Anolis sagrei: one gene and its partners. The protein of the gene in region 3 interacts with the protein of the main gene of each other region in a pairwise test. Links are inferred from orthologs where the notes say so. Each region holds a gene or a part of one and is shown on either strand. Other genes may lie near its edges.

What was found.
Region 1: the proteins of TNFAIP3 (region 3) and ARRDC3 interact in binary tests that used the Homo sapiens proteins (3 or more experiments, as listed by UniProt). The two-hybrid records come from large-scale screens. The link is inferred for Anolis sagrei from reciprocal best matches to the Homo sapiens genes TNFAIP3 and ARRDC3.
Region 2: the proteins of TNFAIP3 (region 3) and YWHAG interact in binary tests that used the Homo sapiens proteins (3 or more experiments, as listed by UniProt). The link is inferred for Anolis sagrei from reciprocal best matches to the Homo sapiens genes TNFAIP3 and YWHAG.
Region 4: the proteins of TNFAIP3 (region 3) and TAX1BP1 interact in binary tests that used the Homo sapiens proteins (3 or more experiments, as listed by UniProt). The link is inferred for Anolis sagrei from reciprocal best matches to the Homo sapiens genes TNFAIP3 and TAX1BP1.

The regions. Positions count from the first base shown.
Region 1 is NC_090022.1:255,829,129-255,837,438, reverse strand, and holds the start of ARRDC3 (arrestin domain-containing protein 3), read right to left. Parts: upstream 3,083-8,310; 5' UTR 2,812-3,082; coding exon 2,532-2,811; intron 1-2,531. UniProt on the Homo sapiens protein: Adapter protein that plays a role in regulating cell-surface expression of adrenergic receptors and probably also other G protein-coupled receptors.
Region 2 is NC_090031.1:32,897,528-32,905,274, forward strand, and holds the start of YWHAG (14-3-3 protein gamma), read left to right. Parts: upstream 1-4,651; 5' UTR 4,652-4,948; coding exon 4,949-5,035; intron 5,036-7,747. UniProt on the Homo sapiens protein: Adapter protein implicated in the regulation of a large spectrum of both general and specialized signaling pathways. Binds to a large number of partners, usually by recognition of a phosphoserine or phosphothreonine motif.
Region 3 is NC_090021.1:79,201,680-79,209,644, reverse strand, and holds the start of TNFAIP3 (tumor necrosis factor alpha-induced protein 3), read left to right. Parts: upstream 1-4,911; 5' UTR 4,912-5,010; intron 5,011-7,965. UniProt on the Homo sapiens protein: Ubiquitin-editing enzyme that contains both ubiquitin ligase and deubiquitinase activities.
Region 4 is NC_090026.1:90,671,271-90,679,512, reverse strand, and holds the start of TAX1BP1 (tax1-binding protein 1), read left to right. Parts: upstream 1-4,903; 5' UTR 4,904-5,010; intron 5,011-8,242.

The DNA of each region.
Region 1 (8,310 bases), on a different chromosome or scaffold from region 3:
TGTCCCGAAAAGGGGAAAAGTCGCCTCTTTTACTACTAACGCCTGTCTCCTACCAGGATTTTGGACATTGTCTTTTGCACCTTTTAGTTTCTGAATAAGTGCCTCTTGAAAATTGCAAATACCCGGGGAAGAATGTGCACTTTGAATAGCAAGATTAAAAAAAATGCCATTTAATCTCAATGCAGACATTGCCTTCTTCCATCTTTTGGCAAAAAGGAAGCTGAAAAGACTTGCCTCGAAAGCAAGGGAATGGCTAATTTGCAACTTGCTTATTTTAACAAAAAAGGCTTCTATTAAATTCTCATATATGCAGTAAATCTGCATAAATATAGATAAGTGTGTGTATATGTGTGTGAAAGGGAGAGAAATTATTTATAGAGAAAGGGGGATAGAGAAAAATGTGGTCTATATATATCTACACATATGGAGAAGATATGTATATACATGTATGTAAATATATGTTCATATATATGTGTGTGAGGATATATATCTCCTCTCTCTTTCTTTCTCTCGCTCTCTCTATATATAAAAAGGGCAAGCCACAATTACATAACCGGTTTCCCCATTTTCTTGTGCTAGGAATTAAGTCATCGCCACCACCTGACACGCCTGCAGCCAATGGGCTTTGGAGGAGCAGGCGCAGCCCCCTCCCTTCTCCCCAGGACTGGTCCCAAACAGGATTGAACCGCTTTGAACAAAGGGTGGAAACTTCAGAAAAACAACCTTAGACTCTCCTAGACTTCCACATTGGGTGCCATAGCAATCTACAGATTAAACAGTCAGAAGCATAGGGAACCCCTTTGGGGAGGTTTGTTCCATTTTTGACTCCCTTGGCTAATATCAGGCATCCTTTGCAGAGCTCTAGGGGGGAGCTTTCCATTGACTGCCCCAACTTAGAAAGGATGCTGTTAATAATGCAATTATTGATCATATTCAATGGGGGGGGGGGTCCCCCTCCTTCACTTCAAAACCCAATTATCCATCCGCATTTGTAGGAAAAATATTCCGAAACAACGTTTTCCCCACAACTTTGTTGAGTTTAAAAGGGAATGCAAGAGGTACACGTGGGGTGCTGAAAGCAAGTGTCAAAACGCACCACGGGGAACCTATTTCTCGCCCAGCAACCCTCTCCAAAGGACATCACCCACAGAAGCCCCATAAGTGATCTTAATAAGGCACCTTGATATAGAGGGAGGGGAGGGGGTCACCATATAGGTACCTTGATATAGGGAGAAATAGTTTAAAAGCAAAGCATTAAGAGAAATTCCTCACTAACTGGATGCACAGGTGAAAGTATCCCTTTTGGAAAGACAGTGGGATTTTTTTTTTTTTTTAAAAAGTCTTCCCTTTGCAGATGGTAATCAGGTGGTCTTTACAATCTATTTACGTCTTCTAGGGTTTTTTTTTTAGCATGCATCCTAAACTCATTTATTGGGGGAATTGGTATTATTGTATTCAATGGGTCCTATCTCAGATGCAAAATCAAGGCGTAATAAGAGAAAATCCTCACCAACTGAGTGTCCCTATTGGAAAATATAAAAAAGTCTTTTGCAGATGGGAACAAGATGGTCTTTTAAGTGTTGTAGGTTTAAATGGCTACATCCCAATCTCAAGTATTGAGGTGAATGGGTGCCAATGCACTCAAATGGATGCTATTTTCCAGTAACCATGTTTGGTTTTTTCAATACCTCCACATCCCATGGCTATAAAGCTAAACTTGCTTGCTGGGGGAAAGAATGGGTGCCATTGCACTCAATAAGTCGCATTTTACAATAACCATATTTTGTTTTTCAATGCCTCTATATCCCAAGGCTTTAATGCTAAACTCACTTGCTGGGGAAAGAATGGGTGCCATTGCACTCAAATGGGTCCTATTTTCCAGGAATCATATTTGGTTTTTAAATGCCTCTACATCCCAAAGCTATAATGCTAAACTCACTCACTGGGTGCCATTGCTCTCAATTGGGTCCTTTTTACAGGAACCATGTTTGGTTTTTAAATATCTCCAAGGCTATAATGCTAAAGTCACTGACTGGGGGGAAGAATGGGTGCCATTGCTCTCAATTGGGTCCTATTTCTGAGTAACCCATCTTTTGGGTGAAAGTGTCCCTTTTTAGGAGAGACTGGAAAATATGAAGTCTTTCTTCCCTTTGCAGATGGTAATAATCACCACCCATTTAGGTCCAACTCTATTTAAATAGCTATGCACCCCAAGGTTATAATACTGAAGTCACTTAAATGGAGAGGAATGGTGTCAATGCACTCACTGGATGCAAATGGAGGCTAAGTCTTCCTGGGAATATAAAATACTTCTTTTTGCAGTGGATGATGGTCTTTGCAATCCATTTAGGTTGATTCGGTTTAAATAGCTATGCACCCCAAGGCTGCAACGCCAAACTCTTACTGGTCCTATTGCCCAGTAACCATCTTTGAAAACCAACCCAGAAAGCAACATGAAACAGATGGGGGAAATAAATAAATAAAATAATAATAATCAAAGAGAGGAATGAATGGGGCAAAGCCAGGCTCACCTCTTTCGTGCCCGATCAAGATATCCTTGTGGTTGAAATACTCGACTTCTTCCGTGTAGTTTTGCGTGTAGGCAGTGTTGGATCCCGCATTTCTCGACTCGGTCCAGCGGACTTTGGCGTGTCCCCTGGCGTGGATCTTTAAGGATTTCACCCGGATTTCCCCCGTGACTTCCAAATTCACCCTTCCTGAGACTGTGTCCCCGCTGGAATAGACGGGGACGTTGCTGTCATTCAGACAGTCGAAGCTGATGGTCAAACTCTTCACCTTCCCCAGCACCATGTTGAAAGTATTATTATTATTTTTTTGTTGATAGCAAAGTCTATAAAAATATATTCTTAGGAGAAAAAAAGGAAGGGAGAGTCAAGATCTCATATAGAAAAAAAATATGAGACTTTCCCCTTGACGCTGATCTGTATTGCTCTGCGAAAAACAGGCAGGACCAGCGTGGTTCTTCTCTAGGAGCGCTTCATTGGGGCTCCTGCAAAGGGACGCTGCAGCTCGGTTGGTCTCCTTACAAAGACGAAAGCCCAGCCGCTGCCACCTCACTTTAAGGAGAGCTTTGTGAAAAACAACCCCACTGCGCAGGCGCGGGCCTGCCTTGGCTCTCCCCCGCCTCCTCTCATGCTGAAGGTGTGTTGCAGAAGCAAGAGAGAGCCCGACTCGGCTGTTGCTGGAGAGCAACAAGACAAGCTGCTTCCTTGCTTGCTACCCCAACTTCTAGGATTTTTTTTTCCTTTTCCTCTTTAGGAGCAAGCCCCTTTTGCATTCCTTTTTGAATTAAAACTTGTCCAGTACAAGTTTTAATTCTGACTTGGAATTAAAGTCTGACTTGGTCACGGTAGTCCACACTCTGGTTACATCCCCGTATAGACTACTGCAACACTCTCTACATGGGGTTGCCTTTGAAGACTGTTCGGAATCTTCAAATGGTCCAATGGGCAGGTTGTCTTCCTTGGAGACTGGGATGCGGAACAATGGCTTCAAACTACAAGAAAGGAGATTCCACCTGAACATGAGGAAGAACTTCCTGACTGTGTGAGCCGTTCAGCAGTGGAACTCTCTGCCCCGGAGTGTGGTGGAGGCTCCTTCTTTGGAAGCTTTCAAACAGAGGCTGAATGGCCATCTGTCAGGGGTGCTTTGAATGCAATATTCCTGCTTCTTAGCAGGTGGTTGGACTGGATGGCCCATGAGGTCTCTTCCAACTATGATTCTAGGAGCGGCGCTCAGGGAGCACACAACTCCTCTGTTGCACCAGCTCCACTGGCTGCCAGTCGGCTACTGAGCACAATTCAAAGTGCTGACTTTAGCCTATAAAGCCCTAAACTAGGGGTTCTCAACCTTGGGTTCCCAGAAGTTTTTGGCCTTCAACTCCCAGAAAGCCTAACAGCTGATAAACTGGCTGGGATTTCTGGGAATTGTAGGCCAAAACATCTGGGGACCCCAGGTTGAGAACCACTGCCCTAAACGATTCTGGCTCAGCTTATCTGTCCAAACGTATCTCTCCTTATGAAACATCTAGGAATTTAAGATCTTCTGGGGAGGCCCTGCTCTCAGTCTCGCCTTCTTCACAGATTCGGTTGGCGGGAACAAGAGACAAGGCCTTTTCAGCAGTGGCCCCTTGTCTGTGGAACGCCCTCACTAGGGACATTAGATCGCCCCCCCCCCCTCTCTTAACATTTCGCAAAAAATCAAAACCTGGCTTTTTTCATCAGGCTTTCCCAAATGCTGTGTAGCAGACAAACCCTGATCTCGGAATGACTGGACAACCCGATTAGGTAATGATTTTGGTAATGAGATGCAGAGGATCTATGTTTTTATGGGGTTTATTATTTACTGAATGTTATTGATGTTAAATGTTTTAATTGTTTTTATGTTATTGTGGGCATCGAATGGTGCCGTTTTTAAACTGCCCTGAGTTGCCCTCAGGCTGAGAATGGCGGTATATAAATATAGTAAATAAATAAATAATAAATAACATCCTCAGCAGAAAGAGCACTGCTTGCAAAAGGCATACTCTCCTCAGCTCTCATGGCTCAAGTGCAGTATGTGTGAAAAAGATCTTGGAGTCCTCATAGACAACAAGTTAAACGTGAGCCAACAATGTGAGGCAGCAGCAAAAAAATCCAATGGGATTTTGGCCTGCATCAACAGGAATATAGTGTCTAGATCCAAGGACGTCATGTTATCCCTCTACTCTGCCTTGATCAGACCACACGTGGACCATTGTGTCCAATTCTGGACACCAGAATTGAAGAGAGATATCGACAAGCTGGAATGTGTCCAGAGGAGGGCGACTAAAATGATCAAGGGTCTGGAGAACAAGCCCTATGAGGAGCGGCTTAAGGGGCTGGGCATGTTTAGCCTGAAGAAGAGAAGGCTGAGAGGACACATGATAGCCGTGTATAAATATGTAAGAGAAAGCCATGGGGAGGAGGGAGCGAACTTGATTTCTGCTGCCCTGGAGACTAGGATGTGGAACAATGGCTTCAAACTACAAAAAAGGAGATTCCATCTGAACATTAGGATGAACTTCCTGTGTGTGAGAGCTGTTCAGCAGTGGAACTCTCTGCCCCAGAGTATGGTAGAGGCTCCTTCTTTGGAAGTTTTTAAAGATTCTATGAAAGGCATACCTCTAGCCCAGTGTTTCTCAACCTAGGGGTCATGACCCCTGTGGGGGGGGGGGAGAGATTGCGAAGGGGGTTTCAGAGGAGTCACTAAAGATAATCAGAAAACATATATTTCTGATGGTCTTAGGAACCCTTTTGGGAGAGAAGGCTGGAGATTTCTCCACCTGTCCTTATCTTCCTTTTTGGTGTTGGTGAACTACAACTCCCAGAATTCAAAAACAGCCTCTCCCCCATCCCCACAGTATTCAATGTTAGCATGTAGGTAGTGTGCCAAGTTTGGTGCAGATACATTGTGGCAGCGTTCAGAGTGCTCTTTGATTGTAGGTGAACTATAAATTCCAGCAACTACAATTCCCAAATGTCAAGGTCTATTTTCCCCAAATTCCGCCAGTGTTGACATTTGGGCATATTGAATATTTGTGCCAAGTTTGGTCCATATCCATCATTGTTTAGAGTTCACAGTGCTCTCTGGATGTAGGTGAACTACAACTCCAAAACTCAAGGACAATGCGCCACCAAACCCTTCCAGTATTTTCTGTTGATCATGGGAGTTTTGTTTGCCAAGATTGGTTCAGTTCCATCATTGGTGGAGTTCAGAATGCTCTTTGATTGTAGGTTAATTATAAGTCCCAGCAACTACAACTCCCAAATGACAAAATCAATCCCTGCACAACTCCAGTTGGGCATTTGTGCAAAATTTGGTCCAGTGAATGAAAAATCATCCTGTATATCAGATATTTATATTACAATTATATTATATTACCAAACAGTAGCAAAATTACAGTTATGAAGTAGCAACAAAAATAATTTTATGGTTGGGGATTACCACAACTTGAGGAACTGTACTAAGGGGTCGCACCATTAGGAAGGTTGAGAACTACTGCTTTAGCCCAAACAAAGCTGAAATGGAGTTTGAAAGGAAGGCTTGTTAAGGGCTGTCCTTGTCTTTAAAAAAATATTTTTATTAGAGTTTCAGAAATCTCATTTAAACCCAACAAATTAAATGCACACACATACACACATACCAAAGACGCATCAACACTGTAGAATTAATCCACTTTGACCCCGTCCAAACTGCCATGGCTCAATGCTATGAAATTCTAGGACTTGTAGATTAGTGACACACTGGGCAGAGAAGGTTCAAGCCCTTGTAAAACTACAACTCTTAGGTGTCCTTAGCATTGAGCAGTCAAACTACATTAATTTTACAATGTAGATGCAACTCTTACTGCTATAGCTCAGTGATATGGAATCTGGGTTTTGTAGATTGATGGTAAAAATGGTTTTAAACAGTGTATTTTAATATTGAGACAAATGTTTTTAATGTTTATGTATGCATATAATGAATTCTTGTCCTGGCATTGAATGCTTGCTGTATATATGCTGTGCTCCGCTCTGAATCCCCTTCGGGGTGAGAAGGGTGGAATATAATTTTTTAAAATAAATAAATAAAGTAAAGGTTTCCCCTGACATTAAGTCCAGTCGTGTCCAACTCTGGGGGTTGGTGTTCATCTCCATTTCTGTGTCGAAGAGCTGGCGTTGTCCATAGACACCTCCAATGTTATGTGGCCGGTATGACTGCATGGAGCACCGTTACTTTCCTGCTGGAGTGGTACGTATTGATCTACTCACATTTGGATGTTTTCAAATCGCTAGGTTGGCAGAAGCTGAGGCTGACAGCGGGAGCTCACCCCGCTCCCCGTATTTGAACCTGCGACCTTTCTATTAGCAATTTCAGCAGCGCTGTGCTTTAACTCACTGTAGCACTGTAGACTAAATACCTCTTTGGCAGAGGAGGCTCAAGGCCTTGTAAAACTACAACTTCCATACTTCCATAACATTGAGCCATGGCAGTTAAAGTGGGGTCAAACTGCATTCATTCTACATCATAAGATAAATAGAAGAGTCAAAATAACCCTGTAGCATTCCCAACCAATTATCACAGAATCATAGAGTTGGAAGAGACCTCGTGGGCCATCCAGTCCAACCCCCTACCAAGAAGCAGGAAAATTTCATTCAAAGCACCCCAGACAGATGGCCATCCAGCCTCTTCTTAAAAGCACCCAAAGAAGGAGCCTCCACCACAGTCCAAAGCAGAGAGTTCCACTGCTGAACAGTTTGGACAGTTAGGAAGTTCTTCCTAATGTTCAGGTGGAATCTCTTTTCCCTGCCCCCAACTAAAACTAACAAATAAACTCCATGAAAGTTACTAACTATCCTTGATTTTATTAGTATTATGAGCTTCCAGACCTATTATTGGATGTGCCAAAAGGAGGAAGGTTCTTCAGACCATCAGAACAGTTTTATCACATTTGCTGTAAAATAATCCAAACCTTACAGGATTTGTGTTTTCAATATTGCGAGTTATCCTCTGCATTGATGGTTGGTGCCCCAGAGGGTAGAGTTGCTTATTGTAAGTGAAGCCAATGGGACGTCAAGTCACAATAGTTAGAGCTAATGATAGAGTAAAGTGTCACAATAGGTGGAGATAATGATAGGTGGAGCTAAGTGTCACAATGGATAAAGATGAGAATCACAGTTGGTTGTTGTATGCTTTCAAGTCATTTCTGACTGATAGAGACTCCAATATGGACCTAATATTGGGCGCGGGGGGTTCTTAGCAGAACTGGTTCAGAGGGGGTTCCTTCCCTTCCTCTGAGGCTCAAGGTCATCTAGTGGGTTTTTATGGTCAAGTGGGGATTCGAATCCTGGTCCAACACTCAAACCACTACACCACACAAGCTCTCAAAATGGGTCACAATAAAGCCAATTGTTATATTGTGCCAAAATCCATAGGCAGAGTAGTCCTGACTGATGTGTCACATGTCAGTGAGGCTATGAATTCACTTTGGGTTCTAGTCTGAACTTTAAAGAAGATATCCAAAGTATTGAGCCTGTTTGGGAATAAGGTTAAGTACTATTGATAGCTCTTTGAAAGCTCAGAGTAAAACCTGAACAAATTCTCCATTTCACTAGAATAGGATAACTACTACTACTACTACTACTTTATTTTTATACCCCTCCACCATCTCCCCCAGGGGACACGGAGGAGATTATTACAGATAAAAACAGAACCACAGCAAAATAAATCAAATAAAATATAAAACAAACACAATCAAAACAACATCATAAAACAGCATGGCTGAGATAA
Region 2 (7,747 bases), on a different chromosome or scaffold from region 3:
TTTATTAATATTTATTTATTTATTTATTTATTTATTATGGGTTCTTTCCATCCAATGGCTGCTCCTCTTTCCTTCCTCCTGGAGAGAGAACGGATAGCCGGAGTGTTAACTAAACCACGAGTTGAGCATGAGCCCACAGCGGCCAAAAAAGGCACAATCTAATCACTCCCGACAGATGGCCGCCCAGTCCCAGCTTTGTTCAAGGCCTTTCAGGGCTCTTCAACATCTTTATTTATTTATTTATTCATTCATTATCATTTATTTATTTATTATTTATTATTTATTATTTATTATTATTTATTATTATTATTTTATTATTTATTATGGGTTCTTTCCATCCAATGGCTGCTCCTCTTTCCTTCCTCCTGGAGAGAGAAGGGATAGTCGGGAGTGTTAACTAAACCATGGGTTGAGCATGAGCCCACAGTAGCCAAAGAAGGCACCAACTAATCACTCCCGACAGATGACCATCCAGCCCCAGCTTTGTCCAAGGCCTTTTGAGGCTCTTCAACATCTTTCTTTCTTTCTTTCTTTCTTTCTTTCTTTCTTTCTTATTTATTATTATTATTATTATTATGTTTTATTTATTTATTGTTTATTATTATTTATTATTTTTATTAATTAATTAATTATTATTTATTTATTATGGGTTCTTTCCGTCCAATGGCTGCTCCTTTTTCCTTCCTCCTGGAGAGAGAAATTATAGTCGGAGGGTTAACTAAACCATGGGTTGAGCATGAGCCCACAGTGGCCAAATAAGGCACCATCTAATCACTCCCGACAGATGGCCATCCAGCCCCAGCTTTGTCCTAGGCCTTTCGGGGCTCTTCAACATCTTTATTATTTATTTATATATATTATTTATTTATTATTTATTATTTAATAATAAATAATAGAAAGGAGGAAACCATGAAAATGAACAAAATCTGGCTACCAGTATTATTTATTTATTTATTTATTTATTATTATTATTTATTCATTAATAATACTGGCTACCAGTATTTAAAAAAAAAAACACTCTAAAATTAGAACAGCACGACAACAGAGAGGAAACAAACCAACAAGGACATCGAATCACCTCTCACCAAAAGATTGCTCCAGGCACTGCCAGGCCATCAAATGCTAATCAAGGTAGTCCATTGAAACATTCCCACCTAGTTCCAACAGACAAGTGTCCTTTGTCCCACCCTGGACATCATTCCACAGATATATAAACCCCTTTTTCCTCGTTCCAACAGACCTCACTACCTCTGAGGATGCTTGCCATAGATGCAGGCGAAACGTCAGGAGAAAATGCCTCTAGAACATGGCCATATAGCCCGGAAAAACCTACAACAACCCAGTGATTCCGGCCATGAAAGCCTTCGACAATTTATTTATTTATATTTATTTATTTATATTCATATTTATTTATTTATTATTTATTTATTATTTATTTATTATTTATTTATTATTTATTTATTATTTATTTATTATTTATTTATTATTTATTATTTATCTTTGGACGATGAGATCACATTGGACCATCTTCTTCTTTGAGGTTTTAAGCAGAGGTTTGGATGGACCATCTGTCAAGAGGGCTTTGATTGTGTCCTCCTGCATGGCAGAAAAGGGTTGGACTAGATGGCCTTTGGGGATCCCTTCCAATCCTACGCCTTTGCACATCCAAAATGACCGCAGATTGGAAAGGGTTGTACTAAATGGCCTTTGGGGATCCCTTCTGGACCTTTGAACGTCCAAATTTAAGATCTGGGCCATCCCTTTGAAACCCATTGGGATTGGATGGAGCAAAGACAAAGGGAAGAAGCCAAACAATGGGGCAATTTGGCAGATGTTTGGGCGGCAAGAAGACATCACAGCCGAGGAGAGGAAATAATAGTGGGGTCTGCCACCTGGACCCTTTGACGCCCATCGTCCTGGGTTAATTAATAATAAATACACTATTAATGAATGATTAATAACTAAATGCTCATCCACCGAGGCCAAAGGCGCGGTCGTAAACAAAAAGACCTGGAAAAGCCATTTGCTCACTACCTCTGAGGATGCTTGCCATAGATGCAGGCGAAACGTCAGGAGAGAATGCCTCTAGACCATGGCCCTATAGCCCATTTGCTCTATGCTTGAATTCCACCTCCACATTAAGGACTGTGTCTCCTCCTCTAGAGGCTTTGAAGCACAAGCTTGGGTGGCTATCTGTTGGGAGGGATCTGATGGTGCCTTCCTGCCTGGCAGAAGGGGACTGGACTGGATGGCCTTTAGAGGGACCCCTAGGATATTTTCATTAGGTGTATAGATTATTATTATTATCAGAGGGCTGGATGACCATCTGTCAGGACGGATGGTGTTTTTCTTGTGTTTTTCTTACATGGTGTTTTTCTTACATGGCAGGAATGGGGTTGGACTGGATGGCCTTTGGGATCCCTTCAACCTCTGAAATTCTGTGGTTTGTGTTTTTAACTGAGGCTGGATGGCCATCTGACAGGAGGGATTGAATGGTGCCTTATCTATCAATACGCATAATGATTTGGAAGGGACCCCTAGAATATTAGTATTATAATATTATAATACTAATTATAATCGAATATATAATATATTATAATATAACATTATAATACTAATTATAATGTAATATAATCCTGAATAGACTACTGCAACACACTCTACGTGGGGGTTGCCCTTGAAGACTGTTCGTATAATATAACATTATAATACTAATTATAATGTAATATAATCCTGAATAGACTACTGCAACACACTCTACGTGGGGGTTGCCCTTGAAGACTGTTCGGAAACTTCAACTGGTCCAGCGAGCGGCAGCCAGATTACTCACCAGAGCATCATACAGGGAGCACCCCACCCCCCTGTTGTGTCAGCTCCACTGGCTGTCGGTCCAGTTCCGAGCACAATTCAAGGTGCTGGTTTTGACCTACAAAACCCTATACGGTTCCGGTCCAGCGTACCTGTCCGAACGCATCTCCCTCTACGTCCCACCCCGGAGTTTGAGGTCATCTGGCTAGGCCCTGCTCTCAACTCCACCTCTATCACAAGTGAGGTTGGTGGAGACGAGGAGCAGGGCCTTCTCAGTGGTGGCCCCTCACCTGTGGATCTCACTCCTGGGGGAAATTAGGTCATCAACTTCCCTCCTCTCCTTCAGGAGGAAAGTAAAGACGTGGTTATGGGACCAGGCCTTTGGGCAATCTGACAACTAGATAAGGACAATCAGACAATTAGGACTGACAGGACTGACAAAGTGGAATTGGAAACTGGACTATGAGATGGCGAACGCTGACCGTTAATGAGGTGCAATTGGTTTTTAGTGGTTTTATCGGCTTATTAGTTTTATTGTTATATGCAGAACTGTTTCTTAACTGTTAATTGCTGCTAGATTGTTTTATACTACTGTTATGTGATGTCGGCATCGAATTGTGCCTTTGTAAGCCACCCTGAGTCTCCTCCGGGGTGAGAAGGGCGGGGTAGAAGTAACCGAAATAAATAAATAATAAATAAGTTTATTATATATTATCTTACAAAATTATAATACTAATTATAATATAATATAGTATTATAATATAATATATTATAACATAATATTATAATACTAATAATTATATCATCATCATCACTTTATTTCTTAATTAGTCGCTCTCTACCAAGGTGCTCCGAGCGACTTACAATTTAAAACAGTTTATACACAATATAAAACATTCAATATAAAATATATTATATAGAAGATATAATATGTTATAATATAACATAAATATAATGTAATATATTATAATATAATACTAATTATAACAGAATATATTATAATTTGGAATGTTAATATTATGTTATAATATTATGTATTATAATATAATTATAATATACTATATAATATAATACCAATTATAATAGTATATATAACATTATTATACTAATTAAAATGTAATATATTATATATTATACTATATTATAATATAATTATAATAGAATATATTATAAAATAATATTATAATTCTAATGTAATATATTATAATATATAATATATTACATTATAATTCTAATGTAATATATAAAATAATACTAATTATAATATATGTATTATAATATAATCATAATATTCTATATATGATACTAATTATAATATAATATATTATAATATAGTATTAAATATTAGATTAGAATATTATGTATTATAATATAACTATAATATATTAAAAATAATATAATACTAATAATTTACTATATTATATATTATAATATAGTATTAAAATATTATAATATTATGTATTATAATACAATATAATGGAAAGGGACTCCTAAGAGCCATCCAGTCCAAGCCCTGAATGAGTGTGTGGCTTGAGGACAAAAAGCAGCGCGCGTGGCTTGCTGGGAAATGTAGTCCCCTCCGCCGCGGCTTCAGCTCTGACCGCGTTACTATCATTCGGCAAGGGAACTCTATCTCCCGTCGTGCTTTGCGCGCGGGGAGAGGGCGGGAGCGTTTTAGAGAAGAGGAAAAGGAGGGCGTGGCTCTCCGGAGAGAAAGAGGCGGGGCTTCTGTTTGGCAGGAGGGCCGCGCAAGCGCAGAGGGGCGGGGGAAAAAGGAGGGAGAGAAAGGGGCGGGGCTTCTGTTTGGCAGGAATGCCGCGCATGCGCAGAGGCGCGCCGCCGCCTTCGCTGCGTCGCCTCTGCCGTCAGAGCAGTCGCGGCGCGAGCGGGGAAGGAGCCTTGTGCGCGCTCTCCGTCTCTCTCCCTCTCTTTCCCTCTCTGAAGCCCGGCCAGCCAATCAGATCGCTCGCTTGCTCTTTTTCTCCTCTCTCTCTCTCTCCTTCAGCCCGGTTGGTTTTGTGTTTCTCTCTCCGAGGCGACTCGGTCGGGCGAGAAATTTCCCCATCTTCTTGTCTTTTGAATAGATATATTTAAATTTTACTATTTCTATCTATTTTAAAAACAACCGCAATCCAGGAAGATGGTGGACCGTGAGCAGCTGGTGCAGAAAGCCCGGCTGGCCGAGCAGGCTGAGCGCTACGACGACATGGCGGCTGCCATGAAGAACGTGAGTGTTTGGCGCCCGCCCGCCTCCTTTTTCGCCCCCATTGATCTCTATTGGGGAATCGATATCTATTGGTTTCTGGGCTATTGATACCTATATATCTATTCATTTCAGGGCTATTCATAGAGGTTTTTGAGGTAAAGATAGATTAATCTCAGGGCTATTCATATATATTGATTTTTGAGGTAAATCTGTATTAATATCCCATAAATTAATATATATTTACCTCAAAAATCAATATTTCTGGGGTATTAATATATATTGATATCTGGAATAATATGTATTAATATTTATTCATATATATTGATGCCGGGGTATTAATATATATAAATTTCTGGTGTATTAATATATATAAATTTCTGGTGTATTAATATATATTGATTTCTGGTGTATTTATATATATTAATTTCAGGGCTACTCATATATATTGATTTCTGATGTATTAATATATATTAATTTTGGGGATATTAATATATATTGATTTCAGGGATAAATATATAATAATTTCTGGGGTATTAATATATATTAATTTCTGGGGTAAATATATATTAATCTCAGAACTATTCATATATATTGATTTTGAGGTATTAATATATATTGATATCTGGGGTAAATATAGATTAATTTCAGGGCTATTCATATATATTGATTTCTGGGGTATTAATATATAATAATTTCTGGGGTATTGATATATATTAATTTCTGGTATATTAATATATATTAATTTCAGGTGTATTAATATATATTAATTTCTGAGGTATTAATATAGATTAATTTCTGGGGTATTAATATATATATTGATATCTGGGGTAAATATGTATTAATTTTAGAACTATTCATATATATTGATTTTTGAGGTATTAATATATATTACTTTCAGGGCTATTCGTATATATTAATTTCTGGTGTATTAATATGTATTGATTTCTGGGGTATTAATATAGATTAATTTCTGGGGTATTAATATATATTTATTTCTGGGGTATTAATATATATTGATTTCAGGGCTATTCATATATATTAATTTCTGGGGTATTAATATATATTGATTTCTGAGGTATTAATATATATTGATTTCTGGGGTATTAATATATATATTGATATCTGGGGTAAATATATTTTAATTTCAGGGCTATTCATATATATTGATTTCTGGGGTACTAATATGTATACTAATTTATGTATATACTAATATATATTAATTTCGGGTTTATTAATATCTATTGATTCCTGGGGTATTAATGTATAGATTTCTAGGGTATTAATGTATAGATTTCTGGGGTATTAATATATAGATTTCCGGGGTATTAATAGCTTATTAATATATATACATACATATTATATATACATATATGCATAATTATCTATGCTCACACATATTTAGTGTACATAGATATACACATATGTGTAGGGTGGCCTAAAAGTCCCCATAAATGGGAAAAATTAGCAAACTCGTATATTATATCTATCTATTTCTAGCTATCTATCTATATGTGAGTATTTTGCAACTAAAGGTACATTTAGCTACAATTTCTCATTTGCCCCAATGTATTTTGGGTCATACTTATGCACCTTCACACACATAATATACATAAATGCACACACCTATATGTATATGTATCACATATATAATATGTATACTTATGCACATATATATTTATACACATATATATTTTATGTGTAATATATGCATATATATATATATATAGAGAGAGAGAGAGAGAGGTATATGCATATATAGATCCACATATCGGTGTTGGTCTGCACACATAGATGTATATATAGATACCCCCATATATAGAGAGAGAAGGGGAGTATACTCATATATAGATCCACATATAGTTGTTGGTTTGCACACACACACACACATGTATATATAGATACCCCCATATAGAGAGAGGGGGGTATATACATACATAGGTCCACATATAGGTGTTGGTCTGCACACATACATATGTATATATAGAAACGCCCATATATAGCGAGAGGGGTATACGCATATATAGATCCATATATAGGTGTTGGTCTGCACATACATGTGTACGTATAGATACAGACAAACACACACAGATCCACATATAGGTATCGGTCTGCACATACACATGTACATATAGATACACCCATACACACACACACACAGATCCACATATAGATGTTGGTCTGCACACACACACATATCTATATATAGATACCCCCATATATAGAGAGGGGGGCTATGCATATATAGGTCGACATATAGGTATTGGTCTGCACGCACACACATGCATATATAGATACCCCATATACATGTAGAGAGAGAGGTATACACATATATAGGTCCACACATAGGTGTGTGTCTGCTTGCACTACATATGCATATATGGATACCCTCGAACGTAACGCATAGAGACAAGAACAGAGGGGGGAAAAGGAGAGTTACAAATGGAAAAGAGTGATTTCCAAAGATGGGAAGGAGTGCAATTTAAATTAATATATAGCAAAAAGGGGAGGTTGTGCAAAAATCGAAGGATGGATTGAAAGACAGAATGTCCAGCCATTTTTCTTTTTTACTATTCCAGTACTACTCTTCCAATATGACACAAACTGGGCTGTTGTTATCATTTGTATTGCTTGGAAAGGAATTGGTAGATTTTGTTCAATACATTGGCTCCGGTTCTGATTCCTATATATGTGTCTGGATATGGGGAACGTTAGGAATATTGCATGGCAAAGGTG
Region 3 (7,965 bases):
GGCCTCAGGAATAAGACAATGAATAAGAATTATTAGCTTAGTGCCACACATTCTCTCCCTCCCCTTTTCTTTTCATCTATATCAATAGTTGACCCTGAGTCCTAGGTCTGAAAGTATTTCTACTCAAGTTCTCTAAATGGCAGCAGAATATTTTAATTGCTTTCTCTGATTCCAATGAGTATTCCAATTGCATCTAAGGACCTCATCCCATGGGAAGGGGGAGCAGAAGCTCGGAACTGTCTTTTATTTTTGCATTTTGTATATTCCAGTGTACAGAGAATTATTGTCTCAATTATGTACTGCTTCAAAAGCAATCATTATTCAATTTGCTGTCATACAACAATACAACAGAGATATCCAGCTGTTGCCATCACACGTTAAAGTTCCCACCTTTTCCCACTTCCAAGTGAATTGAGATGTCTGGATTTGGGCAGCACCTGACTCCAAGAATGCCAATTTCCAGACACTTTAAAACCAGAGCCCCATGGGCAACCACCAGAAGTAGTTTTGCATCATTTAATGGCCTTCATGGGAGTCTGTTTCTTATCCTAATCCATTCTTCTCTCATCCCATGTTCCCATAATACTTTTTGGTATAATACACTGTTTTGGATTTTCCTTTCCCCTATGAGGAGGCCAACAGCTGAATGTCCTTTTGGCTTGAGTTCAGCTGCCTAATTCACCATAGCACTACTCACAGCTGTCTTCTGTTCTGTCTCAGTAGTTTGTTGAGTGCCTTCCAACCATATCCTATCAATTTCTGACATTATTTCTTGTTTAATTTTGCATTATTTCATCACTGGGTTTTCATAGTAACTTTAGAAGCAGTTTACCATGCCTCTTTCTGCATAGTACTATCAAGTGTTATCTATGGTGATTTCACTCCTATCTCGACCACTACAGTTTAACAATAATGTCTCACCTCTCATCAGTTGATAACTGACTTCATTTTTCATAGCCTGAAATATTTAAAATTGACAGAAATCTCAATTGTGCATTTCTGTAGCTACTGCATAGTTTGCATTCACACTATATACTTTTAAAACATGGGCATAACATTCAAGCATTAATTTAATGGAATATCCTTAACAAAGTTAATACAGTCCATAATATCCCAAGAGCAAAGATTTGCTGTGGGTGCAATATCTTGTCCCACCATAATATAATTACTTATTTAGCCCCTTATCTTGACCCTTCATTTTTTCTTTGTTAACGTTTTAACTATATGTTATCCAAATGTATCTCTCTTTATGAGCCAGGTAGAGCATTAAGATCGGTCCCGCAGCCCTCGCAGGTGCGACTGGTGGGGACGAGAGACAGGGCCTTCTCAGTAGTGGCCTTTCGGCTGTGGAACTCTCTCCCCCATGAGATTAGATTGGTCCCTCCCTCCTGATGTTAAGGAAACTACTCAAACAAGTTTTTCAAACAAGCATTCAGAGAATGAGATGATGTAGTCCAAGATATCTTGGGACTGGTGTAATGTTGAATGTCTTATGTTTTATGTTTGTTTACATCCAAAGTTTTATAGATTACTGATTTTAATCTATTGTTATTTGTTTTTAATAGTGTAATACATTTTATATTGTGAGGTTTTGAATTTTGCCATTTGCTTTGTTGTGAACCACTTTGAGTCCCCCTACAGATTGAGAAAAGTGGTATATAAATGAAACAAACAAATAAAATAAAATAAAATAAAATAAAATAAATAAATAAATACGATTGTGAGAGGGATTCCATCACAGGCATTAAATAAAATGCTGCATTGTGTACACGGCAAGTCCTAGCAGTATATTATACATTAAATATTTAAGAGCTAAGTTGTGTAACACAAACTTGACATCAAAAAATCACATTATTCTCCTTAAAACAAATAAAGCAAAATTATTTGGTGTACCTATGTACGGCGCTCCATGCAGTCATGCCAGCCACATGACCTTGGAGGTGTCTACGGACAACGCTGGCTCTTCGGCTTAGAAATGGAGATGAGCACCACACCCCAGAGTCAGACATGACTGGACTTAATGTCAGGGGACTACCTTTATCTTTACCTTTTATGCTTATTTTACATTTTCCTTCTGCTAGTAAGCCACAGGAATAGTCTTTACATTTATGTTTTATAGTATTGGTGGTTTAATCTTTGTTATATATATATATATGCTTTGTATAGTCCTTAGTTTTATTTGTGTATTTTAATTATGTTGTACAGCACCCCACCACGATCTGTAACAAATAACATTTGTTGTTGCCAAATAATTTTCCATTGCAATTCAGGATTCCTTTCCCACTTGACTAATAGCAACAATATGAAGAAAGAAAGAAAAATCTGATAATGATGTTTCTTGCATCACAGCTCTCTGATCATTTCCCATCAGATGCTTACATAAATTGGGAAGTACTATTTTGTTCTCCTTTTGGGACCCATGGCATTCTTGAAAAATAAGGACTCTGCCAATCCATTTCCTTCTGTGTTCTTTCTGGATCACATATATGACTGTTAGGAATTGTAGGAGTTAAAGTCCAAAACACCTGGCGGGCTGAAGTTTGCACATGTTTTATTTACACAATAGAATGACTACAGCTTGACACGACCTTAACTGCCCTGGCTCAATGCTATGGAATGATGGGAACTGTATTATACAAGGCCTTCAGCCTTCTCGGCCAAAGAGTAGTGGTGCTTCACCAAACTCCCTATTTTATTATTTTATTATTTTATTGTTTATACCCCATGTTTTTTCTCTATATGGAGACTCAAAGCGATCCATAATCCAAAACATTACAACTTAAAATATACAATAAAACAGCATATCATTATATATTATCAGTAGTCATTATATTTAACATATTCGTATATTTAATATATTAGTATTACTATATTACAATATTATTCTATACTATTATATTGTATTATTGGTATTATATTGTATTCCTTTATATTATTATCAATATTATAGGACTATACAATATATTATATTATTAGCATAGCACAATAGTAGTATTATACATTACTATATTGTACTATACCACTATACTGCAATATTATTAGTAATATTACATGTAATATATAATATACTTGTATTATATTATTATATATTATTATATTGTACTATATTACTATACCACTATATCTAATATTCTACCAGTTTATACTACTACTATACCACTATATCTAATATTATACCAGTATATAATACTATTGGTATTATATAATATATTGCACTATATCACAAGTTGTAGTATATATATTACAACATTATTAATATTATATATTTTAGTATTATTACATTACAATGTTATTATTTCTATATAGTATAGTATTGTATTGTATTGTATTGTATATATTGAGGGGGCTCCCAACTTCAAGCAGTCTTAAGCTGCATTCCTTCTACACTGTAGATCAGTGTTTCTCAACTTGGGGGTCGGGACTCCGGGGGGGGGGGGGGGGCGTCAAACACCATCAGAAAACACAGTATTTTCTTTTGGGTTCTGTGTGGGAAGTTTGACCCAATTCTATCATTGGTGGGGTTCAGAATGTTCTTTGATTGTAGGTGAACTAAATTCCAGTAACAACATCTCCCAAATATCAAGGTGGCACAGTGAGTTAAGCCGCTGAGCTGCTGAACTTGCTGATCGAAAGGTTGCAAGTTCTAATCCGGGCAGTGATGTGAGCTCCCGCTGCTAGCCCCAGCTTCTGCCAACCTAGCAATTTGAAAACATGCAAATGTGAGATCAATAGGTACTGCTCCAGCAGGAAGGTAATAATGCTCCATGTAGTCATCCTGGCTACATGACCTTGGAGGCGCCTACGGATAATGCTGGCTCTTTGGCTTAGAAATGAGCATCAACCTCTGGAGTTGGACACGACTGGACTTCGTATCAGGGAAAACCTTTGCCTATTTTCCCCAAACTCCAACAGTGTTTACATTTGGGCATATTGAGTATTTATGCCAAATCTGGTCCAGATGTATCATGGATTGAGTCCACAGTGCTCTACCTGGATGTAGGTGAATTACAATTCTAAAACTCAAGGTCAATGCCCACCAAACCCTTCCAGTATTTTCTGCTGCTCAAGGGAGTTCTGTGTGTCAAGTTTGGTTCAGTTCCATCGTTGGTGGAGTTCAGAATGCTCTCTGATTGCAGGTGAACTATAAATCCCAGTAACTACAACTCCCAAATATCAAGGTCTATTTTCCCCAAACTCCAACAGTGTTCACATTTGGGCATATCGCGCATTTGTGCCAAACTTGGTCCAGTGAATGAAAATACACCCTGCATATCAGATACTGACATTACGATCCAAAACAGTAGCAATATTACGATTATGAAGTAGCAACAAAAATAATGTTATGGTTGGGGGGTCACCACAACATGAGGAAGTGTATGAAGGGGTTAGGAAGATAATAGGAAGGTCGAGAACCAGTGCTGTAGATGCACTTGAAAAAAAACTCGGGCAAGAGCCACAGCTGAAGCAGGGAAGAATCACGGTGGGGATACCCCAGGGGAGAAACCCAGGCTGCCAAGCCAAGGAGGAGCGATGATGACGTCAGTGATGTTGATGATGATGATGATGATGCGAGGCAGTCGGAGTCACGTGCCGGCGGCAGCGGCGGAGGCTTCCGCGGGCCTGGCTTCTCGCACAGCAGCGCCACCTAGAGGCCGGCCACAGCGCCAGCAGCAGCAGCAGCAGCAGCGCCGGCAAAGGCCACCGCGAGTGTCACATGCCTCCCGCCGGAAAGTCCCTCGCTTGCCTCTCCGTGGCTCTGGAAATCCCCAGCCCTTTTTTTCCTGCACTGGGGTGAGGGAGGGGGCCCGCCTGGCTCACAGTCCGGCTTCTAGAGGAACAGGAGAGAGGCAGGGCAACCACACGGGAACCTACCTTCCTTCCTTCCTTCCCACCCGAGAAAGCGGATTAAGCCATGGCAGCCTAGCGCCGGAGAGGGTTTGCATCCAGAAGGATTGAGGAGGAGGAGGAGGAGGAGGAGGATTTCTCCAGCCCTCTCCAAGCTGACAACGAGTAAGTACTTCGCCTGGTTCTCTCTCTCTCTCTCAGTCCCTCTCCTTTCTTTCATCCCTCTCTCCCGCTCTTCCTTCCTTCCTTTCCTTCCTTCCTTCCTTTCTTCTTTCCTTTCTTTTTTCCTTCCTTCCTTTCCTTCCTTTCTTTTCTATCTTTCTTTCCTTCCTTCATTTCTTTACTTCCTTCCTTTCCTTCCTTCCTTCCTTCCTTCCTTTCCTTCCTTTCTTTCTTTCCTTTCTTTCTTCCCTTCCTCCCATCCTTCCTTCCTTTCCTTCCTTCTTTCCATCCTTCCTTCTGCTGCTCTTTGGACTTTGGGATTGTTTGGGGGTCCAGTAAGGACTCGCTTCGGGATGGATGGTGGTAAACAAGAAAAGGGTGCATCTTATTCTCCTGTAGATACTGTAGAATGAATGCAGTTTGATACCGCTTCAACTTCCCTGGCTATGGAATGCTGGGAGTTGTCGTTTGGTAAGGCATCAGCCTTCTTTGGCAGAGATCCTGTCAGACTCCCAATTCGGTAGCACTGAGCCATGGCACTTAAAGTAGTGTCAAACTGCTTAAATTCTACAGCGTAGAACAGGGGTCCTCAAACTTTTTAAAACAGAGGGCCAGGTCACAGTCCCTCAAACTGTTGGTGGGCAGGATTTCAATTTGGAAAAAAAAAAGAATGAATTCCAATGCACATTGCACATACCTTATTTGTAGTGCAAAAACACTTTAAAAGAATACAATAATTGTTACGAATAACAATTTAGACAAATATCAACCTATTAGTATTTCAATGGGAAGTGTGGGCCTGCTTTTGGCTGATGAGATAGGATTGTTGTTGTTGTTGTTGTTGTTGTTGTTGTTGTTGTTGTGTGCTTTCAAATTATTGTTGTGTGACTCTGAGTGAGGGCCGGGTAAATGACCTTGGAGGGCCATATCCGCCCCGGGCCTTAGTTTGGGGACCCCTGGTGTAGAAGATGGACTCAGAGGAGAGGAAAGTGCACCCAGTTGTGTTTCTGCTATCACCAGGAAAGTTAAAACAAAGGCTGATTGAGGGCCCTTCCACACAGTACTATAACCCAGAATATTAAGGCAGTAAATCCACACTCATCACAGAGAATGAATCCACTTTAAATCTGGTTTCTGCCTCCTGCAGAATTCTGGGGTTTGCAGTTTAGTGAGGCTGTTTAAGTCTCCTCCCTAAACTACAAACCCCAGAATTCTGCAGGACACAGACACCAGATTTAAAGTAGATTCATTCTCTTGTTTGATGAAGTTAAGTGTTGAACTGCCAGTGTGGAAGGGCCCTTAGCCCCCCTTCTTCAAAATACTACTCCAAAATCTGAAATAGCCCACCTGAATGTTTGAGAGAGTCACACCTCTGCTTTCTGATGGTTCACTTTGCCAAACTTTGTTTCATGCAACATATTTTAAAAATACTTTTGTGCATCAGGTTATTATAAGGTATGATTAAGACATACGATTTCCTGTTTATACTTGGATGCCAGCTCCAAGGTTACCTATGTATTTGGAAATATAGAAATTCCAAAATCTGAAAGCATGCCTTTCCTCTTCTTTATTTGTACCAATCCATGCAAGTTTTCTAATCACTTGAAGCCCCTAATCAGGAATAAAGGAAATGTGGCTGATTATTTATTTATTTACGGTGTTTGTATACCACCCTTCCCAAGCCTGAAGAGCACTCAGAGCAGTTCACAGGGCAATTATCCCCAACCCAAGATTTGGCCATGGATATTATGATGTGTTGTCCAAGGCTTTCATGGCTGGAATCACTGTGTTGTGCTTCTTCCAGGCTGTATAACCTTGTTCCAGAAGCATTCTCTCCTAACATTTCACCCTTATCTGTGGCAGGCATCCTCAGAGGTTGTGAGACGTCTGAGGATGTCTGCCATAGATGCGGGTGAAACATCAGGAGAGAGTGCTTCTGGAGCATGGACATATAGCCTGGAAAACTCATAGCAACTCAGAAATGATGGCTCCACAGGATTATTTTTAAAGAAAGGAGGATTGTTTTTTAACCAATGTTAAAAGAAGTGGAAGGTGACCAGAGAGAAGAAGCAAAAAGGAAAATACTAGTTGTCTTTGCTTCCCATCATGTGCTGAGAAACAATTATTTATTACCCTTAAGAGTTTGGTTGTTGTTCATTCGTTCAGTCGTCTCCGACTCTTCGTGACCTCATGGACCAGCCCACGCCAGAGCTCCCTGTCGGCCGTCACCACCCCCAGCTCCTTCAAAGTCAGTTGTAAGAGTTTGGTACAAAATAGTAAATAAATTCTGGGATTGTAGGCTGGGAACAACAAAAACCTAGTAACAAGCAGGTAATACTTGTTTGTGGCATTGAGTTACATAACAACATGACAGCTCATACATAAGTATTTATCCCATTTTAAAAAACAAGGATTTGCATGAGATGCATGGACGTTGTGCTGTGTCATATGTGATACTGACATTTTAAAGATCCAATGGTTCTTTTAATTTTAATTATTATTCGCTTTCTCATAGTTTCATAATTATCAATATTGTGGTAACATGAACAAGTGATCTTAAACAGACTTACAAGGCAGTAAATCCATTAAATTCAGTGTGACTTTTGGGTAAACAGGCATAAAATGATATTGTCAGGTATTAGGTTGCTTAAAGCAGTCGCTAATTTCTCAGACTCCAATTGGTTATTTTTTTAATCCTCAAGATTTATTTTCACAATTTTTCCACCTTTGCTTAAGAGATGTGACATTGTAATCCATGTTATACTTCAGGATCTGCACCAGTGAGTTTAGTAGTAGGGCTAGTACTAGACACTAGACTTTTTCTAGTAAAGCACCAGCTCCACCTCCTTAGGTTAAGGCACCTATTATCCAAAACCAGTCTTGTAGTTTTAGCACCTGGAGCAAAACAAACCCTACAAGTATCTATTTCTCTCTTGCTGTGAAAAATGAAGTGCTATT
Region 4 (8,242 bases), on a different chromosome or scaffold from region 3:
TCCAACTGTGAAATAACAACCATTCAGATGTGCTCATTGACAGAAAATGTGGGTCCTTGTGCCCATTGTGCCCTGTGAAGCTGCCAAGTTTCACACCTCAAGACTTTCTTTTCCCTCTGACGCTCCACCCTCCCATACATACACACATACACAATTAATGTGTCTGCTCTCACCTATGTGCTTATGGGAAAAGTCACACATTTCTTCAGTCTCACGAATACTCATTTAAATAACCTGGCAACCTTTGAATAGATTTAGTTCATCAATTCTAATTAAGTGTTGGCAAAGATCTCCAAAATACACATAGGATTTTCTTCTGTGTAGGTGATACTAGCAATACGTTATTTCTAATATGTTCCTAAGGGATGCCTTCCATCTTTATAAAAGTATGTGTACCACAATTAGTTTTACTACCTAGGGATCAAACATTGTCTAATTGAGTCTATAACAGGAGCATCGTTCATGACTGAAAAAGGCAGATACTAAGTGATGTCATGATTAATATTCTGCTCAATTATTTTAGATGAAAAACTGACGTATAAAGCACACTGTATAGCAACACCAAAAATGAACTCCTGTTTAAGTGATGACTGATATATACCTTTCACATTTCAAAGTAGCCCGAGGCTTTTTGGGAAGACTGGCGCAAAAGCCAGACTACATCCATAATGAAGCATTGATCTGTACTGCTTTGCATTGGTACCATTACACAGTATCATTATTATGCTTTATGCTTCCATCAACCCAAGCTCTGTTATACAACTGTGTAGATTTCTTTCTACTGCTTTATATACATTGGAGAACTATATTACATGATGCAGATAGTGAGAGTAAAATAAAAATATATTGTCTTTTGTAACTGTTGAAAGAAAAAAATGTAGAGCTCTTCTACCTGGTTCAATTCTTCTGGTAAACCCTGGGCTATTATGTTATGTTTCTGAGTTGCACAACTTCTAGTGGAAATTCTCAGCTCTATATCCGGTCAGGGCATTCCTGAGGTTTCATCCTTTTTATTTAACCCCTTTCTTTTCTTTTGCCTGAGGATGTAGGGAAAGTTTCCTCCGTTCCAAAAAATATAATGGGGGAAGGAAAGTCAAAGGAGAACCTACGTCAAATCTTCATTCCATGCTTCATGAAGGGAACCACTTGAAGGTAAAGGAGAGAAAAAGGAGTTCAATACACTGTAACGTTATGTAGTAATTACTGTATTTATGAATTTAGCACCAAAACAGACAAGAGTTCTTTCTTTCTCAGACCCTGGACTAAATTGGATAATACAGAACATTGGATAAGTGAAGGTTGGATAAGTGAGACTCTACTGTGTGTATACACACACACACACACTTTGGATAGCATAGGGAAGAGCTAACACACCCATGCTGTTTGTTTTGCTGCTTGTGCCACTGTTCAGAAGATTTCACCTCACTTTCTGTCCCTGTGATAATTGGATTTTTTTTAAAAATGGTTTGTTGAGGAAACAGGACTGGCTCTAAAGCTTCAGTAGAGACACCTTTTCCACATGATTATAGAATAATAGAGTTGGAAGAGACCTCATGGGCCATCCAGTCCAACCCCTGCCAATAATAATAATAATAATAATAATAATAATAATAAATAATAATAAACTTTATTTATATACCACTCTATCACCTCGAACGGAGTCAGGCTGGTTCCAAGTATCAACACCAGCACATACAGAATCGCAACATAGGCAAAAATAACAATACTAGCAACATAAACATGAAGAGTTTCATGTCATCCATTGACTCTGGGGTCTTTTTGGCTGCAGAAAGTGTCTTTTTGCATTCTCCATGGAAATGTCCCTCATTTCAGTCCAGCGTGCTACTGGTTCCTGGTCAATTGGGCTTAAAAGTGTGCATCGATTATTTCACCTAAAAATTTTTAATCTTTAAATTCTATAGGGATGTTCTTCTGGTTGTACTTCAGCATGATACTTAGTTTGGTGTTATTTTAGCTTTACTCTAATTTTTGCTTAAAGAAGCAGGAAAATTGTCAAAGCACCCCCAACACATGGCTATCCAGCTTCTGTTTAAAAGCCTCCAAAGAAGGAGCCTCCACCACACTCTGGGGCACAGAGTTCCACTGCTGAACAGCTCTCACAGTTAGGAAGTTCTTCTTAATGTTAAGGGGGAATCTCCTTCAAGAGATTACTCTTTTATGAGTGAATTTTCCCTCTCTTCCTGTTGCCTTGCTCCTGTTTTTAACTATGAATCATTTATAAGCAGGATATTTGTAAGTTGGGGACTGCCTGTACTCAACCATGGTCACATGTACATTTATAATTTAATGCATTTTCAAACCAGTATTGAAGAAAGTGCTCATGCTGTGTGGATGATTACATAGGAAATCCTCAAATCAGCTTGAGGCCCAGATGGTGATTACACAAAGTACAGAATCGTGATGCACATTAAGGGCTTCCCTTCATGTGCTTTTGTGGGAGTTTTTTGTTCGGCCGCCGCAATCTGAAGCTAGCTGCGAACTGCATTAAATGGTCAGCATAGATGGAGCCCAAGAGAATAAGGCAACCCCACCAAAGCTAAAGAATGAGGAATGATGTAAGAAGATGAATTGGACCAGTTGAGGCGGAATCATTTTGAAGAAAAAGTTTCCTTAGAGTTATATAAAAAAGCATTCCTAGCTATTTTAAGTTAAAAATATACAAATTATTCTAAACCATATTCCAAAACATTTTTTACATATTCTGATGAGATACATATGGCACATATGATCTACATTGGCCTCAACCCAGTATTAAACCATCCCTAAAGGATTCCGGCCCAGCTTACCTATCCGAACGTATGTCCTATGAACCATCTAGGATTGTCTGGGGAGGCCCTGCTCTTGATCCCGCCTGCCTCACAAGTGTGATTGGCAGAGATGAAGGACAGTGGCCCCCCTGGCTATGGAACTCCCTTCCCAGGGATATTAGATCGGCCCCCTCCCTCCTGACTTTCTGAAAAAAAAAACCTGGCTTTTGAGCAAGCTTTTGAGAATGCAGAATAGATAACACGGAACTATGAATGATGAACATGGAATGACCCGACGATGTTACTGGATAACGTATTGTCGAAGGCTTTTTTCAGGCTATATGGCCATGTTCTACAGGCATTCTCTCCTGACGTTTTGCCTGCATCTATGGCAAGCATCCTCAGAGGTAGTGAGATCTGTTGGAACTAGGAAAAAAGGGTTTATATATCTGTGGAATGACCAGAGTGGGACAAAGGACTCTTGTCTAATGGAGCTAGGTGTGAATGTTTCAACTGACCACCTTGATTAGCATTTGATGGCCTGGCAGTGCCTGGGGCAATCTTTTGTTGAGAGGTGATTAGATGTCACAGATTGTTTCCTCTCTGTTGTTTTGCTGTTGTAATTTTAGAGGTTTTTTTAATACTTATACTTACTGGATTTTTAGCAGGATGACACCAATGATTATATGTTTTAACGGTGTTTATATATGACTTATATTGTAATGTTGGTTGTTTTTAATTGCACTTTTATGAATGCCTGGCATCGAATTGTGCTAATCTGTAACCCGCCTTGAGTCGCCGTATGGCTGAGAAAGGCCGGTTTATTTATTTAATTTATTTCGTATACTTCTACCCCGCCCTTCTCAACCCCCGAGGGGGGACTCAGGGCGGCTTACAAAAAGGCGCATCTTGGTGCCTACATAAATACAATAACATATAAAACCAGCAATTAAATGGTCAACAATTAAAACAACAATATATCTCACAATCGATAGCCAATCTCAGACACAGTGTTCGCCAGCTCAGAGTCCATATTTAGTTCCACAATTGTCCATTCCTATCCGTCGTCACAGTCCTTTGTTCATCTGCCAGATTGCCCAAACGCCTGGTCCCACATCCATGTTTTTAATTTCTTTCTGAAGGAAAGGAGGGATGTTGCTGATCTAATTTCCCCAGGGAGTGAATTCCATAGGTGAGGAGCCACTACTGAGAAGGCCCTGCTCCTCGTCCCCGCCAATCTCACTTGTGACAGAGGCAGGGCCGAGAGCAGGGCCTCCCCAGAGGATCTCAGACTCCGAGGTGGGACGTAGAGGGAGATGCGTTCGGACAGATACGCTGGGCCGGAACCGTATAGGGTTTTGTAGGCCAAAACCAGCACTTTGAATTATGCTCGGAACTGGATCGGCAGCCAGTGGAGCTGACATAACAGGGGGGTGGTATGCTCCTTGTATGACGCTCCGGTGAGCAGTCTGGCTGCCTCCCGCTGGACTAATTGAAATTTCCGAACAGTCTTCAAAGGCAACCCCACGTAGAGTGCATTGCAGTAATCTATCCAGGATGTAACAAGAGTGTGGGCCACCGTGGCCAGATCCGACTTCCCAATAAATATCGTAAATAATAAATAAATAAAATAATAAATATTTCCCTTGCAGTATTGTAAACACCAATAATCCCATTTACACCGTTTGAAACTGCATTATATTGTCACATGCCTTTTAACTGCATTGAGCTGCATTATATGAATCTATATCAGGTATGGGGAAACTTGAGTCCTCCAGGAGTTTGGGACTCCAACTCCCAGCATTCCTAACAGCCTCAGCCCCCTTCCTTTTCCCCCTCAGCCGCTTAAGCCGCTGAGGGGGAAAAGAAAGGGGCCTGAGGCTGTTAGGAATGGTGGGAGTTGGAGTCCCAAACACCTGGAGGGCCCAAGTTTCCCCATACCTGATCTACGTGGACCATATAATGCAGTTTGAAGGTGCAGGTTGGATTAATTACGTGTAAGAGTAACGAGGAATACCACTCTTTTCCGAGGGGAGGGGGCGATGTTATGAGAGGGCCGGACGCAGGAATGACGCGCAAACACGCACGACGTCGATTCGCTGACGTCACGCGCAGAGGACGGGGGAAAGCCCGAGCGCCGCGGGCCGGAAGTGACGCTGGCGTCTCGGAGGGGGCGGGGTTCCAGGGCGGTAATGGCGGCGGCTGGCGTTCGCAGTTGTTGAAGCCTTCGGCGTCTGAGGAGGTGAGAGGCCTAGTCGGTTGACGGCTGTTTCTTGGCACTTGGAGTGTGTTTGGCGAGGTTGTGAGGGGTTAGTGCGGCCTGTTCTTTTTCTCCTGTCACGTTTGTGGTAACAATTCCCCGCCCCCCTTTCCGAGAGAGACGGAAGGTGAGGGACCAGGCCTGTTGTCTAAAGCAGAGGGTTTGCTTCCAAAGGAGGCGGTTAACCTTGGCTTGGAGGGGGAAGCCAGGTAGGAGCCGCCTGACGAGGCCGAGGGAGAAGTCTCGAAAGGGGCCTGTGCTTAATCTGTTGTGTGTGGGGCGTTATGTAAGTTGTGAGAGGATTATGGCCGGGCGAAAGGAGGAGAAAAGCTTAGCATGGAGGGGAAGGAGGAGATTGTCGCTGGAAGACGCGACGTGGAAGGAAATACAGGGGACTCCAGCACACGCTGCTGCAGTACGTATATTATAATGTGGAAGAGCTCTTCCCATCAGAAATCATAGAATCATAGAATTGGAAGAGACCTCATGGGCCATCCAGTCCACCCCCTGTCAAGAAGCAGGGATATTGCATTCAAAGCACCCCTGATAGATGGCCATCTAGCCTCTGTTTAAAAACCTCCAAAGAAGGAGCCTCCACCACACTCCGGGGCAGGGAGTTCCACTGCTGAACGGCTCTCACAGTCAGGAAGTTCTTTCTCATGTTCAGATGGAATCTCCTCTCTTGTAGTTTGAAGCCATTGTTCCGCATCCTAGTCTCCAGGGCAGCAGAAAACAAGCTTGCTCCCTCCTCCCTGTGACTTCCTCTCACATATTTATACATGGCTATCATATCCCCTCTCAGCCTTCTCTTCTTCAGGCTAAACATGCCCAGCTCCTTAAGCTGCTCCTCATAAGGCTTGTTTTACAGACCCTTGATCATTTTAGTTGCCCTCCTCTGGATACATTCCAGCTTGTCAACATCTCTCTTCAATTGTGGTGCCCAGAATTGGACACAATATTCCAGGTGTCATCTAACCAAGGCAGAAAAGGGGTAGCATTACTTCCCTGGATCTAGATACTATGCTTCTACGGATGCAGGCCAAAATCCCATTGGCTTTTTTTGCCGCCACATCACATTGTTGGCTCATGTTTAACTTGTTGTCCACGAGGACTCCAAGATCTTTTTCACACGTACTGCTCTCGAGCCAGGTGTCCCCCATTCAGTATCTTTACATTTTGTTTTTCCTGCCAAAGTGGAGTATCTTGCATTTTCCTGTCATTTGAATCCATTGCTCCGTGTCTTTGTCTCCAGAGAAGCAGAAATCAAGATTGTTCCGTCCTCAATGTGACATTGTTTCAAACAATTAAATATGGCTGTCATGTCATGCCTTCTTAAACTTTGCATCACCAGGCCAAATACACCTGGCTCCTTCAGCCATTCCTTATGGGACTTGGCTTCCCAATCTTTTATTTATTACTAGCCGTCCCCTGCCCCGCGTTGCTGTGACCCACGGGGGGGGGGGGGGTTCTGTGTGGGAAGTTTGGCCCAATTCTATCATTGGTGGGGTTCAGAATGCTCCGTGATTGTAGGTGAACTATAAATCCCAGCAACTACAAGTTCCAAATGTCAAGATTCTATTTTCCCCAAACTCCAGCAGTGTTCACATTTGGACATATTGAGTATTCGTGTAGAGTTTGGTCCAGATCCATCGTTGTTTGAGTCCACAGTGATCTCCAAAACCAAAGGACACTACCCACCAAACCCTTCCAGTATTTTCTGTTGGTCATGGGAGAACTGTGTGCCAAGTTTGGTTCAATTCCATTGTTGGTGGGGTTCAGTATGCTCTTTGATTGTAGGTGAATTATGAATCCCAGCAACTACAACTCCCAAATGACAAAATCAATTTTTTAAGTGAAGAACATACATTGGGTTGTTAGGTGTCTTGTGTCCAAATTTGGTGTCAATTCGTCCAGTGGTTTTTGAGTTCTGTTAATCTCACAAACGAACATTACATTTTTATTTATATAGACTAGCCGTCCCCTGCCACATGTTGCTGTGGCCCAGTCTGTGTATATGTGTTTTCTGTGTGTATATGTGTTTAAAGACTGACTGGGTAAGATTGCAGGAATAAATCTATGACTAGTAATTTCCAACTTTGAGATTACTAGCCACGTGCACTACCATCTTCAGGTCCTCCAAATCTAGGAAGGAGCACAGCTAGTGTATCAGCCAAAGGTGATAGTAAGCACTCCTGACCATTGCATCTACCTGGGCTGACATTTGGAGAGACAGATTCAGGAGTACTCCCAAGCTGTGAAGACAGTAAACCCATCCAGAACTGATTGACATATCTCCATCCCCAGATTAGGACCCTTGTTGGCAACCAATTCTTTTTTGTCTGAATTCAGTTTCAATTTGTTCTTCCTCATCCAGCCCATTACCTGCTCCAGGCATTCATTCAGAGGAGACACAGTATCCATAGCTGAAGCTGTTTTTGAAGGCGCGGAGAAATATATTTTGGTGTCATCAGCATATTTTACAATTTTTAACCAAGGTGCCATTCTATCCCCAATGTTCTTTAATATTTACTATAAAGCCACTCAGAGAGATCACCTTGCCCATGTTTATGGATGATCTCTCCCAGTGGCTTCATAGTAAACATTAAAGAACATTGGGGATAGAATGGCACCTTGGTTTAAAATTGTAAAATTTTATTATTTTGGATGCCAGATAAATTTAGTTTCTGGTTGTTTGAGAGGTGCTATTAAAAATAGGCCTAACTGATAATAAACTCCATACCATACTATACCATGCCACAAACTCTGTAGTGACTGGATATTATAATATTTACTTGAATGTAATGCTTACCTTTTTTGGCTGCACTAGGTTGTGCATTGGATTTGCGTAATTTGGTAATCTTGGTGCTGATCCAAAGCAAAAGAGGAAGCTGTTTCAGAAGTTGCACCTGGAGCTCTTATTTGAGGGATGTCACCTCAAATTTGATTGCCAGGCTTAATGCTATGCAGTCCTGGAATTTGTAGTTTGGCAAGCCACTAGCATTCTTTGGTAAAGAAAGCTCAAGACCTTGTAAAGATACATGATTTCATAACATTGAGCCAAGGCTGTTAAAGTGGATTCATTTTACAGCACAGATGCATCCTAAGGTTTTCCTTTCAATTGCTAAAAGCCTTGGTGTTCTAACACTTTTGTTTTTAAAAAATCAAATCTAAGCATGTAATTTTGACCAGATTACAAAGAGTGCATTTTTGCTAC